Linked DNA regions of Nothobranchius furzeri. The protein of the gene in region 2 interacts with the protein of the main gene of each other region in a pairwise test. Links are inferred from orthologs where the notes say so. Each region holds a gene or a part of one and is shown on either strand. Other genes may lie near its edges. The genes, in order: pnrc2, dcp1a and edc3.

Region 1 (8,018 bases), on a different chromosome or scaffold from region 2:
TTATTGTTGAAACTAAGGCTTTTAAAGTAAATGTCATATTCAATTCTAGCTTTATGGAGGTGAATATAAATAACACTAAAACTTAAATGATGCAAAAAACTATTTGTCTGTGCAGTGTGTCCTCTATAGGATATGTGCATGCATTAATATAATTTTTATGCCATAGCATTCCCACATGGATGATAGGTATGTCACATACATTTCCTAAACATGTAAAATGTTTGATAATCAAAAATTTTATTTTTACTTATTCACATAATTTAGCATTTTGACATTTTTTGAATGACAACTGTGCTAAAAATAGCAGGAATTACTACAAAAATTAAAGTTAAAAGGGTATCACACCCAAATATAGTTATTTGAAATAACAATAAACAGAGACAAAGATGGGGGAGGGGAAGGAATTTATTTATTTTTTTAAACTTTGTCATCAATTCAATGCACATTTTACATTTTTGAAAATCAATCAAGACAAATCTTAAAATGGGGCACATCTTTTAATCATCGGTGACGTTTCGCGAAAAGGGACAAATTAGCAGCCAATTGTTTCTGTTTTTATGTAGAGCGAGGAGACATTGCTATGCAAGACTGAATCCGGCAAAAAAAACAAAGGTAATAATTAATCGGTGAGTCAGATTCAACCGTCAGCTGGCGGAAGAACAGCTGAGGGCTCAAAGTGACCTCGGATTGGTGATTATTCAAGAAAAAAAGAAAAGTTGGCAAAAAATTAACTTAACGAGTTCGTTAGCATTTAAGTGTCGATCTTACAATCTGTAAACAGATTAAAACGTCAAATCTCTCCATACGCAAGTCTCCTCGAATCCAATTAAATTTTTTTTTTGTTTTATTTAATTTGCACTTGGCATATCTGACCCTACACTGCGTAATACAAAACAATAGAAAAACATGTGTAAGATCTCCTTCAGGTCGACAGTGTAGGGGTACTGCTAAATGCTAACAGCAGGAACTTTCTTTGTTTTTTTAACAAAAATATTCTTCAATATTGAAGTCAAGACATGTTCTTAGCACGTCTTATACATTCATTCTCATTACTAAAAATACTTTTGTCAGACAGGCATCAAATGTTTGCCTGTAAATGTACATATGCTACAAGTACTTTACACATTTTTTATTTACATGGCTCTTGAACACATTAACAATCTCTTTTGTTTTGTTGTTTTTACACTGGCTATTAGCAGCTTCAATTCTGCAAAGGGAAAACATGAAAAAGCCTCAGCAGAGGCCTAAATCACAAAAATATAGAACTCATAAGATAGTCCATTGCATCTCAATCACTTCCCATAGCATCCTAACCTGGTACTCAGGGTGAAGTTCTGGTTACAGTGCAGGAGGGGAAACGAGCAGCATCAAGGGGACGGATTATCAGATGGTCGGTCAGGGACGACGTTTGAAAACAAACAAATCATCTCCGTTGCTATAGGTTACGCCCCTTGAGCTGCTTCCCTCTAGAAAAGCTCCTGGGTTCTACCTCACCTCAGACGTGCGCGCACCCAACTGGACCCCGTCGTAAAAACGAGGCCCTCTTCCGCGCGTTGGGAGCTGCGCCACCGTCGTGATGAGGCAGAGACTGAAGGGCAGTAACAGTACTGATCGAAACAGACGAATGTTTAGGGAATGCTAACCCATTCACCGCCGGGGCTGGCAAGAGAAAAGGAGTGGGAATCACGCCAACCACACGGGGGCCGTCAACAAAAAAAAAGCTTTGGTTACCCAGCGCTTCACATATCTTTCAATCACATCAAAAAGGACTTGTACAAAATAATGCTGTGATAGTGTTGCGGACTTCAGGCACACTCAACTCCTATAGTGCGTGTGCGCACAGCGCAATAAAAAAGGGATACAGGAGTTGGTGGTCTGAAGTCCATGTGCTATGGTCTCGTTCAAGCCTTCGAGGTCAGGCTTTCACCGTATCCACCAGCTCACGTTCAATAGAATATCATTTTTCCCTGCAGAACTACAGTTGAGTGCCTTTTTTCGTTCCAAACAAGGTATATATATTAGCTAAGAAAAAGGGGGGGGGCTCTTAAAAAAATGCTACAAACATGAACTCGCTTTAGCACCCGAAACTTTGGAAGTCCCTCCAAAGACTTTAACCTTAAAACCAAAACCAGTGAAGTAGCTCAGCTGCCCACAGAAATGGACCATAAAAGTAATGGATGTCACCTGACCTATAGTTCAACCCCTATTTGGGGGGGAAAAAAGAACACTCAATCTGCTCGGACAGCCAACTCTAAAAAGAACAAAACAAAAAAAAGGTAAAAAGAATCCAGTTTGTCGTCGTTTTACAAAAACTGGCTCCATTTAAGGCATGCCCAACCAACAAGGCAGCAAAGCTGTAATAGCTTAAAAGTCTATTTAAAAGAAATTGACTCAACGTCAATTCACTGCTTTAAATGTCCACGTTTAGCTACGGATGATGTCTGTTAAAACGTTAAGTGTATTACAGCTTTGAGGCATTCCTGGTGAGCAAATGCCTCAACAGAGTCACAGTCTAAGCATTGGCTCTAGTTAGGTGAAGTGTGTGTACTCAGCTCAAGCCTGCACCTTCAGCAGGTTTTTGAGCTCGAAGGCCATCATCTCCCTGTGGTCACAGGACGCTATAGGGAAAGACACCCAGTGACTCGGGGGTTTGGGCAACACGCTAGGTGAGGGGGGCTCACTGAACTTAGGGCCTGCATAGCTCGGGCTGCCCTGGGTTGACAGGAGCGTGTTAAGATGAGACACTGCACCCTCCCAGCTTTCGTAGTTGGTGGCAAACCGGACAGAAGCATTCTTCTCCAAGGACATGGCCTGCCATGCCTCTGGAGATCTGTGGTAGGCAGGGCCTTTGTCGCTCCGACGGTGGCTGTGGTGGTGAAGGGCCCCCGTTCCTCCTACAGATGCTGCTGTGGTTCCGTTCTGGTCACGGCTTCTCTGCTTAGCCTTGCCAAGCTGATGGGCTTTTTTGGGGCGATCCGGGTGGGAAATTGGAATGTTGTACCTCTCTCCACCTCCCATGTTTCACTACTACCTGTCACCTGCAAGACAATTATAAAACGTTACCATTTTCGTTTTTAAAATAAAAGTTATTGCGTAAAAGGCACTCTGCACTGCACCCTCCACAAAAAAACAAGCTGCTGCAGCAGCTACGTGCAGGAGCTGCAGACGTCCAGGGCTGCGCTGCCCCTCCCCCACACACAACCCAGAGCAAAAACACCCCCAGCCAGGCAGCTCTCACCTCTTTGTTGTGAGAGAGTGGACGTGGCTGAGATCCCTCTTTAATCTTTCACCTCCGATCGGTCCCCAGGTCCTCGAAGTAGCTCTCTGTCTACTTCTCGCTGCACTTAGAAGTCCAGCAAGGTCTGAAGTTTTCATGTGCCAATGAGCGTTGTTTTCCCGTGAAGCCGAGCTGAACATCAATTCACCTCGGCGCACGATGCTCCAAGAAGTCGAGAGCCTTAAAAATGCGTGAAAAGGCGTTTTTTAGATGCGCAAACTAGCGACAATAATATACAAAACAAAAGCTACGCACGTCTTTATTATGTAACAAGGCATTAATTAGCTGTAACAATGGTGTACGCCACAATGCGTCATGACAAAGACAAAAACAACACCCCGTCGTCTTATTTCTAACTTCTCAGGGTTTATTGATATAAAAATGAACAAATAAACACAAAATAGCATAAAAACGCATTTAGTATTAATCATTGTTCCAACCACTTACGATGAATTTGATTAATAAAGTTCGATGAAAATATGGCAAGTCGCACTTTAGTTAACTAATTTCACATTTACAAACGCTAGAAACACAAATCAAACGGCTACCCAATCCGTATCGCTGTATTTTGCCACATAACCAAAACAAAAGAAACGGAACTCAACATGGCGACGAGACTCAAAACAGCTTCTCTTACCGACTTCCTCAGGCTTGGTTGTTAAAGCCTTTCTTTGAAAATATTTATGTGGTTAGCCTCTGATTTCACTCCGTGGACTGTGTAGGAAGCACAGAAGTCTATGTTTCCTACAAATCCGTCACCCTTTGAGGCTTGTGTGCTGTTACCGGTGGCCGTCGAAACGCCACTTCTCCCTTCCGTTTCTGATTGCAACAAAATGGAATCTTCACCACAGCTATGTAGTCCGTGCTCGCACGGAGCCAACCAATCACGTAGGGAATGCGTTCCGAGCGACCAATTACAGGAGAGGTAAGCGGACGCGCTCGAGCCTGTTGCCAGACTGCTGACGTCAATGGCTGACCCTCCTCCCTCCCATTCCTTTGTTGGAAATGGTTAGGGTATTTCCGGGTATTTCCTAAGAGAAGTGACAAAACAACTCAAAACAATCACTCTCGATGACGAAAATCTCACGTTTACAAGCAAAAGAGCAAGTATGAAGTGTCCCTGTGGTACATAAAACACCGTATATTAGCTTCAAGTCGACAGCGCAATCGTGTTTTGTTATGCAACAAGATAAATACAACAACCTTTCAGATTTAACTGTTTTTCTGAAACAGAATGCCACTGTTTGTTTGTTTTTTTGCGTTTTGTGGGTTGAATCTGTTCTTCAGCTCTGACCAGTTGCAACAGGATGTAATAACCATAACACAAGACATAAACCAGTGACTGTAGAAAACTATGACACCACCCATCCCCCAACGTTGGCTCAAGTTACAATTATTTCACCAAAACTCTTTTTCAGATTCTCAATCCAGGTTTGATTAAGAGTGCTATAACAGCCACCTGAATGTTTTAAAAAAAAGTGTTTTGGAATAAATAAATAAATAAATAAATAAATAAATAAATAAATAAATAAATAAATAAATAAATAAATAAATAATACGGTTGAGAGAGCTGCAGCATTGCAAAATTACATTTTTGGCAAGGGAATGGACAAAAAAAAGCCTACAATAGCCATGAAGTATCAGTAAGAAATGTCACATACTTTTTTGAAATAAAAGAAAATGGCAAAGATTTTTGCATGTAGCCTATATTTGAGTTGGTTCGATGTAAGTTTGACTTAAAGAGACAATAGCTATGTTTACATGGGGACAAGTAATCGGAATGAATGCCCTATAAGATCAAAGATTATTCACGTAAACATGTCAATTGGAATATTCTGATCCGATACAGCTCATTTGGAATGAAATTCCATTGAGATAGGTGATTTTGTCCAATCAACACTCCAATTGACGTCCATGTACACTCATTTGGATTCTTGGGGTAATGCCCACTGAGCATGTGTGCAACTTTGGCGTGACATTTTTCCGCTTCTGCAGACGCTCAGGACAAGTCAAAAACATGACAGGAGGCGAACAGAAGTTATCCTGCTCCCCTCTTCTGTGGAGGAAATGGTGTTACGTACCGCTGAGCCTAGCTTAGTTAAAGTGATAGGTAAAATCTAAAGCATCGGATAATTTCAGTTAGTGTCCATGTAAACAGAGATTTGGGATTTCTGAACAACCAAAATTTGAATTGGATGGGGGAAATTTGGCGCATGTAAATGTAGCTAATGGGTTGTTCTTGCCGTTAATCTCTGGAAATATCCCTTTAAACATTATTGAAAATTAATAAAATGATGTCCAGTTGTTGAAAAATGTTAGCGGCATGGTACCATATAACCATAAAAATCGGGTATATAGGGTGCAGGTCGTCTTTGGGGGATGCCATATTAGACACCATCTTTCCTTCTGGCTGGTTCGGGGTCCTGCGCCTGTCGATGATGTCACACTAGATGATTGGCTGGATGTACAACTTATGGAAGTTAGTTTACCACGTTCAAAAACATTTAGGCAGTAAGAAACACAAATTTATTAACAAAACTGATAAACTCTTTCCAAAACATAAGTGAAAGAACAGAATCAAAAAAGAGATGCAATGTATTTTGGCCAAGCGGCATTGCCGTAGTGTGATGACGTCATTGGCAGGCGCAGGACCCCGAGCAGATCCGGAAAGTGCAGTGCCAGCAAACTACAATTGGCGTTGCATTCTCTCAATGGAAATAACCGAAGGACCATCAAAGTCTGAGGAGTCACGCCGAGGTTGCATGCTTTCTGCTCCACAGGCAACAATATTTACCGTAATGTTTTTTTAAACCAGCAATGGCGATATGGTGTAAAACTACCCAGAAATGTATGTACTGCCCCCTTTTGCCAGGAAACTATACACTGCCACTTTAAGCATTGACCCATTCCTAAAATGAGCCATGACATAATAGCTTTTGTCCATAGTTTTTTTCTTTCCATATCCAATAAAAATCATAAAAACGTATAATAAGACATTTTTAATACTTGTTTACTTTTGAAACTCAATAAGATTTTTTCTACTACAGACCATTTGAGGACAACAACATGTGACATAGCCTAGCAGGTGGTTTTATGGGACTCCAAGTCTGCAAAGTACAGACCAGCAGATAGTCTTGTCCTTGATCAACTCAACTTTTCTTATCTGAAGTTAAAAGGAGCTTTTGCGCAACAAGGCATTTGTCACACTATGGCAGGACACGCCTTTGAAACGCAACGCTGCCTTGAATGGGGGCTGTGCACACCAGGATTGGCTATGTAAGGAAAGTAGGTCACTGAGGCCTCTGTGGGTCACTAAAACCCATTTCACTGTTTGCAAATGCTGACAGTGTAAACAAGTCAAAGAGTAACAGATTTAAACCAATAGATAGTAGAATGGAAAACAGGAAAGCTGCTTGTTTCATTCTTTTTGCTCATGCAAAGTGGGATTTACTCAAGGTCTATAATAGTAATCCAATTTAAATAATAAAAAATATGTTAAAAGGCAAGGGTCATGATAGGAATTTCAATATTCTGAAATCTCCAAATTTTCCAAACACACAAACAAAGGGAAGTGGGTGAGAAAAGACAAAAAGTTTCACGTGTCATTTATGTTTAAACACATGCAAATGAAGTCATTTAATATGTTGTTTTCATCAACAGAACAGTTTCAACTTGCACCTTACTATAAATGTTGCAACTTAACAGGTTAATTTTAAGCTGAACGTTTTATTAAATAGATTATGTAACAGATTTTCTTTAGTGCAAGTCATTTTAAAATATCAAATCAGCTGTTTCCACCCTGCAGGTCACCGTAGTTTCTTACAAAAGCAGTGTACAGTCAGGATTGCATGCTAACAGGACCCAATTTAACTTTTGTCTAAACCTCTTTTATAATTTAAATTCTATAAAAGCAGCAAGTATTTGGTGTTCTGTTGACTATAACATGCTTTAAAAATCTAAACCGTCTTCTGATACATTGCTGTACAGTCTGATGTTTTAGCATTTTTTATATAAGAGTCAGGATAACAATCACAGACAGTGAACTAGTGCCTTTACAGGATTGGTCTTTTGACCTTGGTACTTTGTTTGCAGGTTCAGTGTGGGAGTTGAGTAGAGCTGCAGCTGCTGTTTCATCAAGAGGACTCCTGGTTACCTTCCTCTGGAGGTTTTTGGGAGGAGATCTTTCAGCAGATAATTCCTCTCTAGCCTGATAGCTCCATGGGTTCTCCATGGGAGGAGCTGGCTCATGTTTGAGAGCCTGAGCTGGAGGAATGGTACAGTACAGTAAACTGTACACAGACATGTATTTTTTGATTTAAATGTTTATGTTTACATTTATGTATTTAGCAGACACTTTTGTCCAAAGCGACTTACAAGTGATAATCGGCATGTGGCCCTTGAGGCTAACAACAACAACAACAACAACATTGACATCAATCATGGAGAGGAGGGAACAAGGAGTGGACAGTAGAGAGGGGGGACGGGTGCAGGGAGGGTGCTAGTTAAGAAGATGCTCTCTGAAGAGCAGGGTCTTCAGGAGTTTCTTGAAAATTGAAAAGGAAGCCGCTGTTCTGGTAGTGCTTGGAAGGTCATTCCACATTCCACAAATCAAGCCTAAAATGTGACTTAAAAACAAAAGTAGGTTCTTTAAATAATCTTTCTGTTTTGTGTAAATTATTGCAAAAATTTACAACAACAAATCAAACCTGATACTTGTTTCCTGGTATAAACTGTAGATTAA
Region 2 (8,510 bases):
AAGCATTCCAGGAATGGGGTTTTGTTAAATCACATGCATCAAAAATGTCTGTTGTCAGCGTGGAACCCACATGGTTCTTCCTAGATCACAACAGAACAAAGGAGACGCATGTGGAATGATTCAAATTAGCACCATTCAGCTGAATAAACCGCACAGGAGGGCTGGTCAGAACAAGAGGATGAATCTATAAACACTTAAGAAAAAAATTACAGTTCATGCAAAATGTTGTTTTAATCTGTTTATTTCTGAGGCAAAATTTAACTTTTGTAAAAATCTATCGTAGCACTTGATTTAAGATTGAGTCTCTTTTGTGATGACCTAATGAAAAGCACCAAACCTGTCTTGCAGGGTTTAAACGAAAACTCCCAGCAGCAATGTCACATCTGCACCGTGCACTGCAGCGATCGTCATTTATGTTTGATCGTGTGCACAAGCTGCTGTGTGAGGTCTCTGCCTGAGCTTGGTTCAGTTTGAAAGTCTGAGTTTGGCTTTGTGAGCGTTACCTGGCCTTGTCAAAGTATTTCCCGGTGTAGGCCATCCCACAGGCGGCTCCCAGCCCCTGACCCAGAGATCCAGTGGCCACGTCCACAAACTGCTGCTTCTGTGAACAGAAACACATGTTTTAATCTTCATAGACAGAGAAAGAATCTTGTAGGGATGCAGCAGATCAGCTTTTGCACCCACAGATTCCAGCAGATCAGAATGTCACCTTACCGGCACGGGGTGACCTTCCAGGATGGAGTCGACCTTTCGGAGATTGAGGAGCTCATTCTCCTTCAGATAGCCAATCTCCGCCCAGACAGCATACAGCACAGGGGCTGCGTGACCCTGGTTAGGATCAGGCAAAAGCTTATTTAATTTAAAAATTAAGAAGAGTTGACAACATGAATGCTCAACTGGCCTTGCACATATATGTCACTATAAGCTGTCTTTGTGCATGCAGAACCTGCTGTTACCTTGGAGAGGATGAACCGGTCATTATTGGGGTTGCGTGGGTCTTCAGGTCGATACTTCATGGAGTGAAAGAAAAGTACAGACATGATCTCTGCCGCACTGCAACATGATGTTGGGTGCCTACAATGAAGAGGAACATGACTGAGAAAATCCCACATTGTATGTCTGAAGCACCTCCGGCTGCACACATGCAGACTCAGACACGGAGCCAGAATAAAACCAACAACTCGAGGTTCAACAGTCACTGTCTGATGGTGTCATATTTCATCAACGAGGTTAAATAATGCTTAAAATTTTTAAGTTATGACACTTCTCCTTATCTCACCCGCTACCCGCTGCAGTTGTCGCCTTGATGGAGTTGATCCGGAGCCGGGTGGCGATGTTCCTGAGCGCCTGCACAGTCTGTTGGTCCGGTTTGTGGTAGTCCTCCATCTGGCCGCAGTAAAGCACGCACGCACAAATCGGTTTAAAGCTGAGGAAAGAGTTAAAAGATGTCTGTCTGCAGCTCCGAGAATAAATAGGATGAGTTTTCAGAGGACGATGACAGGTGAAGGGGGAGGGAGGGGGCGTGTCTGCCTATGGATATGGCTAATCTGGGTTGAAAGGAGCAGGTTAGTGGAACAATGCAGCCAATAGGGTGAGAGAGAGCCACGAGCACACGCTCATACGCATTCAGGCAGATTATGGACAAATAACCGTGGTGCAGATGAATTAGTGTTCATGTGGAGATTAATTATAAAGAATGAAACATTAAAAATAGAAAAAAAGTTAATGTAATCTGATAAGAATGAACATTTATTTTGTTGGTTCTTATCAAGGACACAGAAATGTTCTTATATTATATTACAGTGTTTTGTTTGGTCCCACTTCTTCATCTAATGGACTTTTCATGTTGGCTCCATGTGGAACCAGGTGGACTTGTTACATCCTCACGACAAAACTTCTATTTTTAATCGATCTGAACAATAAAAGAAAAAAGGAAAGCAGAAAAGGAAGAGATAGACATATTATCAAATAAAAAAGAATACTCTGCTTTGTTAGTTTCTGTCATGATTTCTATTACTTTTGTGTGTTTTACCTTCTTTGTGTTTTTGTGGGCTGATCTACCTTTGTCTAAATTAAGCAGGCATGTATTTAAATTTTGTAAAGTTTACCCATGCTTTTGGGGTTAAATTAAAAAGAAAACACCTTTGTGGACTAAAACATGCACCTTAACAGCACAATATTCTACATTTTCCAGGTTCACCTGTAGATCACATTTTAAGGACCCGGTGAGTGGCTGTGTGAATGATACCAAATATCTGAGACACCCTAATGAATGAAGGAATGACAACTTTCAGTAACCAATCTGTTCCATCAGACAGGGCCAGGCCTGTTAAGATGGGGGTGGCCCAGCTGGGGGTGGCACCTATGGTTATGTCTTTTTTTTGGGGTGGGGTAACCCTCCCAAAATAATTAATTTTTCGCATTCTAGTGAATAAGCTAAATTCACATTGTACCATGACTGTTGTTTCTGTTGCATGCCGGGATGCTGGTTGCTGTGATACTTAAAAAAATTCTTTAACAACTTTCAAACAAACAACCAATTACTTGAAATAAATTTACATTTATTGCTGCTTTGTTGAAAACATTCAGAGCATCAACTAATCGTCCTAAAATTAACTACTTATATTTGAAACTACATATTTTCAGAAAAGGCACCTGAGCCTTTTCTCCTGCGGCAATGTGGTTAATACACTTCACCCAAGTCTGCATCGATGCAGACTTGGGTGAAGTGCAGGTCAAAGGCACAAAATGATTAGCTTCCTCACCTTACGCACTTGCACTCCTGGCTGGGATTGCACAATTGAAGGGTGCAAGTGTGAAAGTGCGAGTATTGGCATTGGGGCATAAAGTAAATTTCAATGGAACTCATCCAGGTGGCTAACCAGATTCCAAAGGTGTCTTATGCACACCAGGCCTCTCCCTGGACACGCCCCTGCCATAAGACAGAATTGATACCCATCATGTTTCAGGGAAAAAATCATAACACGTTTATTCCAAATATAAACAATGAAGTGCTTATCACCATCGACATAAATATACTCATCACAGGCAAATTCAGCTAGCTGGAGCCATTGTTTTGCATATAAATGTCTGTCAATGAATTAAGACTTCAGAAGTGCTGTCACATCAACTGAAAGCTAGTGGCATCTAGTGGTCAAGCTAACAAAATGCTTTAGAAAGTTTTACTTCGTTTCAATAAATAAAAATGTAAAACTTTTTCTTAAGTTTTAGCCAAAATGCATCCAGACAAAATAAAAAACACATTTCAGCTTTGAAACAGATTTTCACAGCAATAAATAAATAAAAATCAGCAGTCAAATCTGTGTTTAAATCTTTATTATAACAAAATATGGCCAGCCAAATATGTAACAAACAAAACTTTTTGAAAATCACATTTCTGGCCTTAAGATAAATAAAATAACTAATATCTTAAATATGTGACTATGATTAAAATAATCAATTTTACACTAAACATACCAAAAACCAAAATTATGCCTGAAATCATTATTTTAGTTTGATTATTTAATCATCTTTCTAGAATGCACATTTTTCACATTCTACACTGAAGCAGTCAAAAAAAAAAAGATTTGCCGATCTGAGGCGGAAACAGCATTCCTATAATAAATCAGACACAGTCATGATGTCAAAATAAGGATTTATAATGAAATTTGCTTGAAATTATTTAATTTTTTTTAATAAAATAAAAAAAAATCTTTTAGTCTTCAAAATTTTTTTTTCTTGTTAATTAGTGACTTTGGAGCAAATGAGCAGAGCTGATTTAATGAAATATGCTTGATGATTTGTGACTAGAAAAACATTTTTGCATTTAAACAATTTTTCTAAAAGAATGAAAATGTTTGAAATGTAAAAAAAAAAAACAATTGTGCTTTTCCCCCCCCGAAAAGCTTTAAACAAAAATAAAATTATTGGAGATTTAAATATGACTGGATAAACAAGAGGACTGAAGCTAATTTATTTACTTTTAATTTGGTTAATGTGTAGCTGACTAAGTAACATCAGACCACATGTGATAATAAGGACTGAATGTTATAACATAGATTCTAATGGAACAACACTTATATAAGTTTAGCTCATGATGTTTAATTTGAAAGGATTTTTTAAAATTCATAGCTCCTCTGAACTCGGACGTTTACATAAACGCCATTGTGCAACCCTGAACGCTGGTTATCACCCTAAAGGTTATTTACGGCACAAGACTCTCCAAAAGCACCGAGAGCTAAGCCAGTGGAGGAGTCATAATAATACTGAAAGAAAAGCAAAAGGTAGAAAAAACACGAGTAATAGTAACAAAATATTGTTTGTTTTTTTGTGAGTCTGAGAAGCATAACAATGCTTTAGTCAGCAGCCAGAAACAAAACGTTAGTTTTTTAGCTGCCTGTCTGCACAGGAACGGACGTTTTTATACAAAAAGGTAAAAAAATACTGTTTTCAAAAAAGAAAAGTACACAAAATCAACTGGAACAGCAGTTCAGTGTTTACATATCTTAACCAGATACACTCCTTGCCTTGATAAGACTTCCATGACATTCCCTAGTATAACCAGTTCAAACCGGCTTAAAATATCAAACTTCAGCTCATCTTTGCTCAATAATAGTCTCTTCTGTGGTCACATGGGTGCAGCAGTGACATCATCAGTGGGGTGGGACTATAGCTTAATGTTGCGCAGGTCCTTGGATACACTCTGCAGGTACGCCTCATGAATGGCACTGAGGAACTCTGGGTTATTCTAGACAAGAAGGAAGTAAACAACCATCATTCAGCTTAAATTCAACTCATTCTTTTTAACTCTGAGCATCAAAGATGAAACTTTGCCTCTCGGAACTGTACCTTAATGAGGTGTATCAAAGTGTCCTGTAGCTGGGTTTTACTGAAGGGTAGAGACTCTACAGCCCGTCCAGAGGCACAGGACGCTTCAGAGGAAGCAGGAGGCACCATGGGTGCTGATGTGCTCTTATTCGTGGTTTGCTGAAAGACGCTGGGGGAAAGAAGCACAGACATCTCTGACACGGGGACAGCTAAAGCTGGACTCACGGGGAAAGCCTGGGAACAGAGACAAAAGGAAATTTTGTGGATAACCAGCTGAGAAAGATATAGAGACAAAAAGCCACCAGCTAACAAACTCACAGGAACTGGGTTTATCAGGCTAGGAGGCTGAGAGAAAACCTCTTTGTTGGATTCTTGGAAGCTATGAGGTGGAACCAGAGCGCTTGGCAGGAAGCTGGGTGCAAGGACCGGTTTGTGAACACCTGAATTCACAGACGATGCAGCTGGTTTGAGCGAGCCAACTAGATCCTGCCCCAAAAAGGAGCTGGGAGTGACTGGAGAAGCTATGGGCCCAGACGGAGTAGCTAGATGCTCAGATCCAGATGGAGACATCATAAGAGAGGAGATGGAGCTCTGGGATTGGGGGTCCTGCCTCGGAACCACCGAGTGGAAAACAGGACTGTGATTCAGCACATAAGGAGCTGGGATTAGGGCGGAGCCTTTCTGCTGCTGGTGGTTGGAGACAGAGGGGATGCATGGACTTTGCTGGGGCGGATAAGGTTGTTTCTGGACAAAGGCAGTAGGAAGATCAGTGGAAGCTGTGCTGTTGTGTGAAGGCGCGGCCATTAGAGAGGGTTCCTTAGGAAGAGAAGAACCAAAGAGCTCCTCTACTGTGATCTGCTTCACCATCGTATGAAAGCCCTGCATTAAAAAAAGAGGGTTAATTATAAATTATTTTATGATCATGTTTTATTTGAGAATCACCTTCATTGCCCCCTTTTTAGAATCAGTATTTAACTAAATGATGAGTTTTGGCCATTATAAACTTTAGCAATCGATGGTTTTACAACAATCTGCTGCAGATTGTGACATCTTTAAATTCTGAAAAAGATTTTTATCTCTAAGATGCTAATTTTGAGACATTAATAAAATCTGGAATACAAAAGAAAAACGTCAAAATCACCAAGGAACAGGGCCCAAAACAGAACAAATAAAGAAATCAACAATTCCCACCATTATTACTTTAAAAATGACAAATAACTTAAATAAATATAAGTATTTATATAAAATTACAACTAATTTCTATTATTTCTAATTTCTATTATTTCTATATTTGTTCCATTACACATCATTTATAAACAGATAAAATTAGGAAGTAATTAGTAAAATAAAGATTAAACCACTTTTCGCATAATAAAAAACAACATAACTTTTCTGCGGTCAACATCAAACAAATACAAAACTTTTATTACATTCTGTCATCACCTCTAAAGGACGTAATAAAAACAACAGAACTCATAATGAATCTTTTCAAGTGTGTTGTGTTCTTTATCATCACTGATTGTTGCTTTCATGCTCACCTCTGCAGACACTTCTGTCTCCCCGGACTGGGTCTTCAGAAAAAGACAAAAAGACAAAGTGATCAGGTGTTTTAAGAAAAACTAAAACATCTTTTAAAAATCTTACTCTCTGATATTCTTCCTTTGCTTTGCTGAGCAGCTCCAGGATGTCGATGGGCCGCGGTTCTGCGACTCCATTGCTTCTGCCTGCCTCTGCTCTCTCTGGGCTCCTCCTCTTGGCGTGGTCCACTTCTTGTTTTACAATCCTGGAGCAAAGTTAAAACATACTGATGAAATACTTCTAATTATTTACAGAACTTCCCCAAAAACCATATCCACAAACACAGCATGGATGTGCTGACCTACTTACTTCACCATCAGCTGAGCGATGCGTTGGCAGTCCTTTTTGTCATAAAACCAAATACTGTAGATTCCCACTGTAAAAACAAAACAAAGAACACATTTTTAGCTGCCTAAAAAACTGAAAAATTACAATTTGTCGATTAAAGCACAGAATTAGGGTGATGACTGAATAAAGCTGTTTAGAGCTGTGTCAAGGACTCGGTTCTGCATGATTTGCATCTTTGTTTCAAGCAGCAGATAGAGAACAGAAAAAAATAACATCAAATTTGACACAAACCAAAAATGATTTAGTGATTAAATATTACATTTTTCACAGAAACATTAACTTGTTACCACATCACTTATGTGATTTTGGATTGCACCAACACACTGGTGAATATACCATCCCCCAGGGAGGCTGTGGTTACCTAGCAACTGAAGAGTTTGCCTCCCTGCAGCATCTCCAGCCACCAAAGGGAATATGAAGCCATGTAAACAAGTATGTCTCTCTCCAACAGTCTATAGCCCCGAGCTGCAAGCTCACAAGCACTCAAAGGAGACTGAAGAAACACTCATATATTTGTTAATCATCACCATCTCTCTGAAGATTTAACCGTACTTGTGTCTAACCTGTGCTCTTTATTTGATCCTGCTTTTATGCCAGCTCAGTCTTCATCGTTTCTTCTACTACTCTCGCTTTCAGGATCACAGCTGGGAAATCTAAACTCATACAGCCACACCTTTACAGCAACAGGCTACAGAACGAGTCAGCACACTGAGATCTAGTGGACTGTGTGTGTGCGAGGGACTGTCTGCTGCCAGGGAGAAACCTGAAGATTATCTTCCTGCAACTCCACCAAACAACAATATTAGCACACATGCTAAAGTAAAGTTATCCGAGAAGCTGGTTTTACTGGGATACCAACCTCATCATGTCCTCGATCCCAGCCAGGCTGATGTGCAAACCAACTCCAAAAGGGGAGCCGTCGACTCTAACTTTGACCCTGGCTATGCTGTTTTTCCTTATAAGCAAACAAATGGGAAAGCATTCTAACTCCTTGTTCGTTGCCCTGATGAAGCTTCTCTTCAGACTTCTAATAGATTACCTTGGAGGCAGCGCAGTCAGCTACTTTTTGAAGATTTGAGAAACTTTGCGGCCTTTTTGTTACACTGCTCTGTCACAAGGCTGGAGGACATCGCTGGATTAACTTAGTGGTCGGATTCACCAATCAGAGACTTAACTCTGAGACGGTTGCCCAAATGCAGAAAGATAACTGTTCACTAGCAAAGCTGAAGTTGCTGTTTGGCCATTTTGGGCCATGAGTGCTAAAGTGTTCCTGCTTGATGCTGCAAGACGTCACAATGACTTCAAGCAATATGGAAGAGAGGTGTTCCATCGAACGCTGGGGAGATATCTGTCTATTGTTTTCACAGGTAGGATCATAATAGTGTTTATGCTAGTTAATATAATTAAGGATCATAATAGTGTTTATGCTAGTTAATATAATTAAGGATCATAATAGTGTTTATGCTAGTTAATATAATTAAGGATCATAATAGTGTTTGTGCTAGTTAATATAATTAATACACACATTTGTATGTAAAAGTGAAGATATCACTAATGCTTCAAATAGGAAAATTATGAAAATGCCAAAATTGCAGAAATTTCTATTAAATAATGAGCATTTTGTGACTAACAGAATTTAACAAAGCAACAATAATAATAAGCTATTATACTAGGAGGAAATGTATTTTCATTTTGGTTCAGAAGTCATTAAACATGTTTACAGATTTATTAAACACTTTTTCTGTGCTGGAAACAAG
Region 3 (8,396 bases), on a different chromosome or scaffold from region 2:
GAGAAATTCTAATCAGATCATACCTGGGCTGTAAACTGAGAACTGGTGTCCCACATGTCTGTTCACGAGAAAAAGATGGGTTTGAATTTTAAAATAAATCAAATGAACATCCTGCAGAGTCTCTCTCTCAATCCAAGCCACAAGTTTGCTCTGTGAGGGAGAAACTGCTCATGAGTCTGCTTACATGAAGAGGAGAGATTTTCACACAAAGGTGGCAGCTGGAGGTTTGTGGCTATTCTTGGATCATGCCTCTCGATGGTTTCCACTGTTTACGTGATGATCAGCAGATATTTATTTTTGGGGGTATGGGTATATTAAAACAGTCTGAGGAGAAAAAAACTATGGATGAGTTGAATTATTTCAACAGTCCTATTTGTTCTGTCAGAAACTCTCCTGTTCGTTATTTACTCACTTTGGTTCATGATCCATCCATGGTGATCTCATTACACAAACACAGCTGGATGAGTGGATCATGATCATCACTTCCTGTATAGTCCCCACATGATCACACCTAGTCTGACCTACTGTTGTTAAGAATATCACCCAAATGTTAATAAGGCACAGAACTTGTCCTATAATTAAATGTTAATTTAAATCAAAACTGATTAGGGAAAGAACTAGTTTTAAATAGTTGTATGATTTTTTTAAGTGTGCAGGACAAGCAGTGTTATAAATCATCTGAACAGATACTGATATTCTCCAGGCCAGTGTGAAATGTTGCACAGCTCTGACTAAATCCTAAGATGTTTCCTTCCATGAAATAAACAGGTCAGAAACACTGATCTGCTTATAAAAATAGTGTGCAATAAATGGACTTAAAATAATTTAGAAGGAAATTTAAATAGCTGCTACATCTTCATGTTTACAAGAAATCAAGAGTTTAGAAAAGACAAAACAGTGTTAACCCAGCTCAGATTTACATCAGTTCAGCCAACATATCTGAAGATTTGTCATCCAGTGGATAGAAAATGAAGCCAGCCCTTACAAATAAAGCACCGACTCTTACAGAAACTATATCTTTAAAAAAAAAAAAATTCTAACCTTCTGTGGCATCTGGGAGAAAAAAAGAACATTTATGTGTAAAGTTGCTTGGAGCACTGTGCCATAAATCAAAAGCGACAAATAAAACACCCACAAGAAAAAAATAAATAAATAAATAAATAAATAAATAAAATAACCACAAGTAAAGTCTTTGGAGTTATTGATCAGTCCTCTAGATCAGTGGTTCCCAAACTTATTTAGCCACGCACCCCCTTCTATGTCCCGACCATGTCGACCCCCCCCCCCCCCCACACACACACACACACATCGGGGCATTGCTATATATATATACATATATATATATATATATATATATATATATATATATATATATATACATATATATATATATATATATATATATATATATATATATATATATATATATATATATATATATATATATATATATCAGATGTCAAGCTAAACAGACAGGGTTAAAAAAATTCCCCATCACTTTCATTTTTTAAATAGTAAATAATAAACGTTCGATACATTACAATTTCCTTTGATTTCATTTTAAATAAATATTTGGAGTGCCCAGGTAGCACATAAACAATGCAATTTAACGGTTTTCTTAAAGTAGGAACGTTTAACCTGTGCGGCCAGAGCGCTCTCCTTCCTTCTGCTCTGCGTAAACCTGAGCTGATCACCTACTTGTGCGTAATCAAATGTCAATAGGGGACAAGATATAGCCATGATGTTCACTTTTACCTCAGACCGACTTATTGCTGTTTTATGGTGTGGCTAAATCTGCGATCCGCTGCCACGCGGACTGGAATAACAAATGCTGCAGTAACAGGACTTGTGGTCAGGTTCATGAGGAGTCACTGGCTGTAGCGGACCCGACTCATCCCAGAAGCTAATATCTTAATTTGACCTTGAATGAAAAATAACCTCTTAAAAGTTTTTATCAAGGTGGAGGCAGCGTTCATTTCTGCCTTCAGTCTGACAACGCGCCGGAGTTAAAGCAGCGTGCGTGCTTATTGAATCTGTGTGTGTGTGTGTGCGCGCACGCGTGTGCGGCATAGCCGCTCAAGTCACCGCGTCTCGTTATTGGCGCTATTTAAACTTCTGCCCAGCCCAGATGTGCTCACATGTGCACCCGTGAGCCGTGGTTCCGCTGGAACACGTCTGACCTCTGACAGACGCACTCTGAACTTCAGATCTTCAGCGCGCTGTCAATAGCCTAAATGGGAATCATTTCTTGTTATTTTGTTACATCCACAATGTTCTGTGTGTGAGGTTTACAATGTCAGAACACCTGCATGAGACAGGGTGTTAATTACAATCTGCCAGAATGACTTGCCACCTTCAGATTTCTCCAACACCGTTAAAAATGATCAAATACGGAACATATCGGCGTGCGCAGGCCAGAGTGCTGAAGCTCGGCGCATTGTTATTATGAAGCTAGGGCACATGCGGAGGACACGCGCGCGCGACGGAACATATCGGCGTGCGCAGGCCAGAGTGCTGAAGCTCGGCGCATTGTTATTATGAAGCTAGGGCATATGTGGAGGACGCGCGCGCGCAAAAATATACTTGTTTTCAATTACATTTATTGGGCCCACTTACTTTTTCTTAGGCCCACCCACAAATGAGTTTCTACAATAATGGTGACATATGACAGACTTCTCTGAGCTCCGCAGCCATTACACTTTTCACCTCGCGCACCCCCTAGCGGCAGCTCGCGCACCCCCAGGGGTGCGTGCACCACACTTTGGAAATCCCTGCTCTAGATGAAGAACCTACAAATTCTGAAAAATCTCAAGCATTGTTTATGCAAGAAGCTGCTGTCACTCAGGATTTGGCACAGAAGCTGACTGACAGCATCAGTGAACTGCAGACAGCTTCAAAAAAAGAGGAAATGCTGCAAGTACTGATTATTTGCTAACTAATAACTGTTTCCATTAAATGTGTTTATGGAATGGTTGTAAACCTTATAAAATACTTGTACTTCAGTAAAACATGTCAAACAATAACAATGAATCCACAAACAAACAAACAAACAAACCTTCTAACACCACAACTAAATCATAAAATATTAAACTCACTGGAACCCTGCTGAAGGGAGTGTGGACACATAAGTGCCAACCACACCCACATGTTTTGGACATGCAACAGAATAAAACCATTTTAGGATCAAAAATCTATTGAAATGACAAAATTATTTGGATATAAAATACCCCAAAATGAGATGATTTTAATGTTTTGTAACTTAACTGAGAATGTGGTCAAGAGAAAGGACTATCTCTGTAAAATTTTGTTAATTGCTGGTAAAAAAACAATAACCAGAACCACCAACCCTGGAACAGTGAGAGGAGACAGTGAACAATATACGATGGAACGGATCACTTTTTAGTTGAGACTGAGGGGAGAACTCTTTTTTTTAATGGGGAAAAATGGACCTCCTATCTTCAAGGGACATAGGATGCTAAAGGTAAAAATATAACTGGTTATAGGATAGAATTGGCAAAGCCCCAAGCAACTGTTTTATATTCACCCATACATTTTATTGTCATTTTTTCAATTTTGCCCTATATGGTTCTCCTTCTTTTCTTTAGTTTGTTTTTCTACCAACACAGATTTTTGTTGTATATGTTGATTAAATAAGAAAGACAAATAAATAAAAAGTAAAAAAAAAAAAAAGAAAAGAAAAAAAAGAGGAAATGCTGCAAGTATTGATTATTTGCTAACTGATAACTATTTCCATTAAACGTGTGGAATGGAATGGTTGTAAACCTTATAAAATACTTGTACTTCAGTAAAACATGTAAAAAAATAACAAAGAATCCACAACAAACAAAAACTCACTCACTCACTCACTCACTCACTTTCAGTTAAAGACTTTTGACTAAACGTTTTTACCAGCCAGATATAAAAGTTCCGTCTTATTTTGAAAAGCTCAGTCTACCGGAAACAGGAAGGCGAATAGCAGTAGCTGTTCTAAAGCTAAAACGCTAACTTCTCCGAGAGCAATTTTCTTAGCTTTTACTACCCGCTGTTTCATTTTTATTATCAAGAGGGGTCTACTTTATCTTAATTCCCTAAAGGTACGGTGATAGTTGAAGGTATTTTACGTTTCAGCACGTAAATTGGCTCTGCGTAGCTTAATAACAGGCCGGAATAATAAGCAGTCGACACATTTCGTAGGCCTAAAAATGAACAATTAATATTTGTGGTTCTCTTAGGTCACAAGTTAACGTGCTGCTGTAACAAGTGTGACAACTTTTAACTTTTTGCAGATAATGGCTGCGGACTGGTTAGGTAGTTTAGTGTCCATTAATTGTGGCCCAACGCTTGGGGTGTATCAAGGAGAAGTATCATCAGTGGACCAGTCAAGCCAAACCATCTCTCTAAGGCAGCCTTTTCACAACGGAGTCAAATGTCCAGTTCCCGAGGTCACATTCAGGTAAACACGGGTCTTTTCCACTGTTAGTAACTTTGTGTGATTTGCAGTTTCTAGTAACTATTGATACAATAGTTTGATTGTTTTTCCAGTGCCATTGATATAAGGGAGCTAAAGATTTTAGACATCAGAAGTGGTAATGCAAGGAGAACCTCTACTACAGCTACAAACGTGCACAGTGTTCCGGTGGCAGTCCCAAAGGGTGACCCCAGAGCTGTTGAGAAATTAAACTCTCCCCAGCAATGCTCTAAAAGTTACGGAGAGCGTCATCTAGATGCTCTGGGCCAACCCAAAGGGTTTCGTCGAAGACATAACTCATGTAAGGGCCATTTGTTCGGCGATCAAATAACTAAACAAAAAATCAATTTCTGTGGCATGATACTAATGGTTGAAGTTTTTCTAATCTCACCAGGGTCATCTAGTAGTCGAGGACCAAACCAAGCAACACCTAAAAAGAATGGAGTGAAGAACGGTCAGATGAAGCACAGAGACGATGAGTGTTTTGGGGACGGCATGGAGGATGACCTGGACACGGATTTTGACTTCGAAGGGAATCTTGCCCTTTTTGACAAAGCAGCAGTTTTCTCAGAGATTGACACATCAGAGCGGCGTAACGGGGCACGGTCACGGGGCACTCCTCAAGACCAGACACCCTCACGGTACCGCCATGATGAGAACATATTGGAGGGCAAACCAGTCGTTTACAGACAGATTATTGTACCTCAGCCTGGGGCCAAAGAGTACTGTACTGGTATGTGCTTAACATTGTAAATGGTATTATATGATAGTGTTTGGGTTTAAACTGGTTGACACCTTTCTCTATTACTTTCTACAGATTCTGGACTTGTTGTACCAAGTATTTCCTATGAACTCCACAAGCGGCTGTTGTCTGCTGCTGAGCGTCACGGCCTCTCACTGGAGCGAAGACTTGAGATGACTGGAGTGTGTGCCAGTCAGATGGCACTTACACTGTTAGGAGGGCCCAACAGGTAAATGTGTAAAGATGAAGACTAACTTCTAAATCACCTTAGAAATAAGGAAAGTTTTGAGTCAATTTCAGCACTTAAATTATTCGAGTAACTTAAATGAGCTAATTACAGATACTTCATTGGTTGTCATGACTGTGGTTTCCTCTGTGTCGACATGTTTAATTGGGACTGACATGCTGAGGCAGCCCGAAAAGTGGCTTCACTTTTTAATAATGGAGAAAAGCAAAGATTTTTTTATGCATGACTAAGGCCGACTCTGGTATAAATGATGGATGAAACAGACCAAACGGTTTTGGATCAATCAATCAATCAATACTTTATTAATCCCAGAGGTAAATTAGAGTTTCAGTATGCACAATTCAGAGATCAGACATACAGGTTGGTAGGTCGGGTTTTCACAGCATCTGTCTGCATTCCTTCATGGGGGTTTTTAGTTGCTTGCAGTTCAAGGCTACCAGGGCGTCAGATTCGGATAACAAGAATTTGTTTGGGTCAGGCTGATATAATTTTCCTCTTTGCCTTCAGTCTTTTAAACTGATCATTCCAGTCCTTCAGTGAAGCCAATTTTGGGTTTTTAAGCTTGTCCATACCGTCTGGTAACTCTCCGAGATGACGTCCATTTTGCACACTAATACCGGTATCGCAGCTAGAACATTGTCCAGCTTATGATTCACCTCGAGTAACGTCCCAGTCTGAGAAGTCTCCACACGTACGGTGCTTTCCGTGGGTGCAGGTCACCCTCCAACCGCTCCCGTCTTCCCAAATTTCCAGAAAACCAGATATCCTCCCACTCCAATCAGGAGAAATCCAGTGATCATCAGGCCGAATATCCACACGTCTTCGATATCCTCAATCGACAGCTGGGAGAGGCATATGATCTTCCACTCCTTCCGGGAATCCAACATATATCCCACTGGGTGTGTCCCCTGTGGACATGTGGGAGCCCCCCTACTCCGTTCTCAATGTTGAAAAAATCTTATCGATCGCATTGAATGACCAATTTATCAAATCCATGGTTAGTTAACAGTTTTTCAGAAGAAATGCAGAGAAGCGCTCTGTGGGCAGACAGGACAAAGAGCCTTGGGGAAAAAAAGATAAGGGAGCAAAAGAGGGAAGCGTCTGTACTCCTCGAGTGCCTGAAGAATCAGACATAAAGAAGATCAAACATAAAAAAGCATCAAACTTTTGAGTAAAAGATTGGGAACAACCTGCGTGATGCATGTAGCTGCAGCACTAGTCGCTTGTGTACCCTTTTGTTTTTGTTTCCTCAGGTATGTTCTGAGGTGTAGTTTCCAATGTTTCCTCTTTTCGATGTTAATGCAGGTTATTTAAAGAATTTTCGTTAGACAATTGATCCTGTTAATTTCTCCAAATTTTCTTAACCTAATCTGTGTTTCATTTCAACTCTAGATTCACACCAAAAAATTTACATCAGCATCCCACTGTGGCGCTGATGTGTGGACCTCATGTTCAAGGCGCTCAGGGTATCAGCTGTGGTCGTCACCTGGCCAATCATGAAGTAGAGGTTATCTTGTTCCTGCCAAACTTTGTCAAGATGCTTGATTCTGTGACAAACGAGCTCACACTTTTCAACAAAACTGGAGGCAAACAGGTGTCCAGTATCAAAGGTGGGTTTGTTGGGACATAAATATTGATAATTTGTTTATTTTAGTAATTAAGAGTTCAAAAATTCTATAGTTATTCTTTTATCTGACCTTGCAGATCTCCCAGACACACCAGTTGATCTGATCATAAACTGTCTGGCCTGCCACGAGAACACATTCCTGATGGACCAGCCTTGGTACCGGGCAGCTGCAGACTGGGCCATCCAGAACAAAGCACCAGTGCTCAGCTTGGATCCTCCTGTAAGTGGACAGGGACATGCAGTAGAGGCGAAGTGGTCCCTCTCGCTTTGCCTCCCCCTTCCTTTAGCTGAAGGGGCTGGCAGGGTGTACCTGTGTGACATCGGTATTCCTCGCCATGTGTTTCAGGAAGTTGGAATCAAATACCTTTCTCCTTTTGGCTGCAAATTTGTCATCCCGTTACACTCGGCCTAAAATGATCGAGTATAATTTTCACCATCCATGACCATTTTGGTTTTGGAGCCTTATATTCCAAAAGTCTCAGTTCAGTTTCTGATGTATCACATTAACTGGACTTTGCTTCCCTCATACTGGTGGACCACTGTTGTTTACTTCATACAGACATAAGACTACGTGAACGAAGGAGGAATATATTTTGAGTCTTTATTTCAAACCCATGACCTGACCACTGGAGGAGATTGATGTTGTGGTTAAGTCAGGGGGTGATAAACAGTGTGACTAAGTTGTTAAATACGCTGTGATATAAGGTCCTCTTCTAAATCGAAAAGGACAATCTCTGAAGTGAATTTCATAGTTCTGAAGCCATATAACACGTACTTCCTCTTTTTTTTTTTGTTCATGAGGCAGAAAACGTGTTGCTAGATGTAACTTCAGTTATGTTGTTCTGAACAGACATTTCCATCTACACTTGTATTTATCAACAACAAATGAGATAAATGCAAATATTTGAGTTATTGTGCCAGCAAAGGAGTTCCTCTAATGTAAAAAGTCCCTTTTATCCAGCATGCATGTAATGCAGAAATTATATAGATCAGTCATCACCAAAATTTGAGTTAAAATAAAACAACATCCTTATTGTGATGCTTGCCAAATGGTGCAGCTGCTGGATAAACTTGCAGAAATCTGCAGAGCTGTGATTAAAGCAGTCTTATTTTGCTGTTTGAGCATCTGAGGGGAAAGTTTTTCTTAAGGACAGTATCAGTGTGTTCATAGCAAAATACCTGTTAGAATGATCCATTTAACACCTATTAAATGTATTTTCTTGCAGTTTTGATGTAAATGTTCTTTGTCTTTTTGGACGACATAAAACATTTTGCACCCTAAAACACAGAAATCTGCAGTAAAAACCAAGCC

The links.
Region 1: the proteins of dcp1a (region 2) and pnrc2 interact in binary tests that used the Homo sapiens proteins (3 or more experiments, as listed by UniProt). The link is inferred for Nothobranchius furzeri from reciprocal best matches to the Homo sapiens genes DCP1A and PNRC2.
Region 3: the proteins of dcp1a (region 2) and edc3 interact in binary tests that used the Homo sapiens proteins (3 or more experiments, as listed by UniProt). The two-hybrid records come from large-scale screens. The link is inferred for Nothobranchius furzeri from reciprocal best matches to the Homo sapiens genes DCP1A and EDC3.

What each region holds. Positions count from the first base shown.
Region 1 is NC_091745.1:69,953,202-69,961,219, forward strand, and holds pnrc2 (proline-rich nuclear receptor coactivator 2), read right to left. Parts: upstream 4,103-8,018; 5' UTR 3,915-4,102; intron 3,458-3,914; 5' UTR 3,239-3,457; intron 3,039-3,238; 5' UTR 3,019-3,038; coding exon 2,554-3,018; 3' UTR 2,013-2,553; downstream 1-2,012. UniProt on the Homo sapiens protein: Involved in nonsense-mediated mRNA decay (NMD) by acting as a bridge between the mRNA decapping complex and the NMD machinery. May act by targeting the NMD machinery to the P-body and recruiting the decapping machinery to aberrant mRNAs.
Region 2 is NC_091755.1:32,988,653-32,997,162, forward strand, and holds the end of dcp1a (mRNA-decapping enzyme 1A), read right to left. Parts: intron 6,782-8,510; coding exon 6,715-6,781; intron 6,611-6,714; coding exon 6,472-6,610; intron 6,399-6,471; coding exon 6,366-6,398; intron 5,707-6,365; coding exon 5,146-5,706; intron 5,062-5,145; coding exon 4,849-5,061; intron 4,748-4,848; coding exon 4,667-4,747; 3' UTR 3,322-4,666; downstream 1-3,321. Other genes in the region: transketolase-like, read right to left, coding at 504-601, 715-828, 957-1,074, 1,280-1,386. UniProt on the Homo sapiens protein: Necessary for the degradation of mRNAs, both in normal mRNA turnover and in nonsense-mediated mRNA decay. Removes the 7-methyl guanine cap structure from mRNA molecules, yielding a 5'-phosphorylated mRNA fragment and 7m-GDP.
Region 3 is NC_091744.1:58,992,761-59,001,156, reverse strand, and holds edc3 (enhancer of mRNA-decapping protein 3), read left to right. Parts: upstream 1-3,953; 5' UTR 3,954-4,094; intron 4,095-4,286; 5' UTR 4,287-4,289; coding exon 4,290-4,453; intron 4,454-4,525; coding exon of another isoform or gene 4,526-4,542; coding exon 4,543-4,769; intron 4,770-4,862; coding exon 4,863-5,201; intron 5,202-5,285; coding exon 5,286-5,439; intron 5,440-6,849; coding exon 6,850-7,067; intron 7,068-7,161; coding exon 7,162-7,496; 3' UTR 7,497-7,723; downstream 7,724-8,396. Other genes in the region: uncharacterized protein, read right to left, coding at 24-56. UniProt on the Homo sapiens protein: Binds single-stranded RNA. Involved in the process of mRNA degradation and in the positive regulation of mRNA decapping. May play a role in spermiogenesis and oogenesis.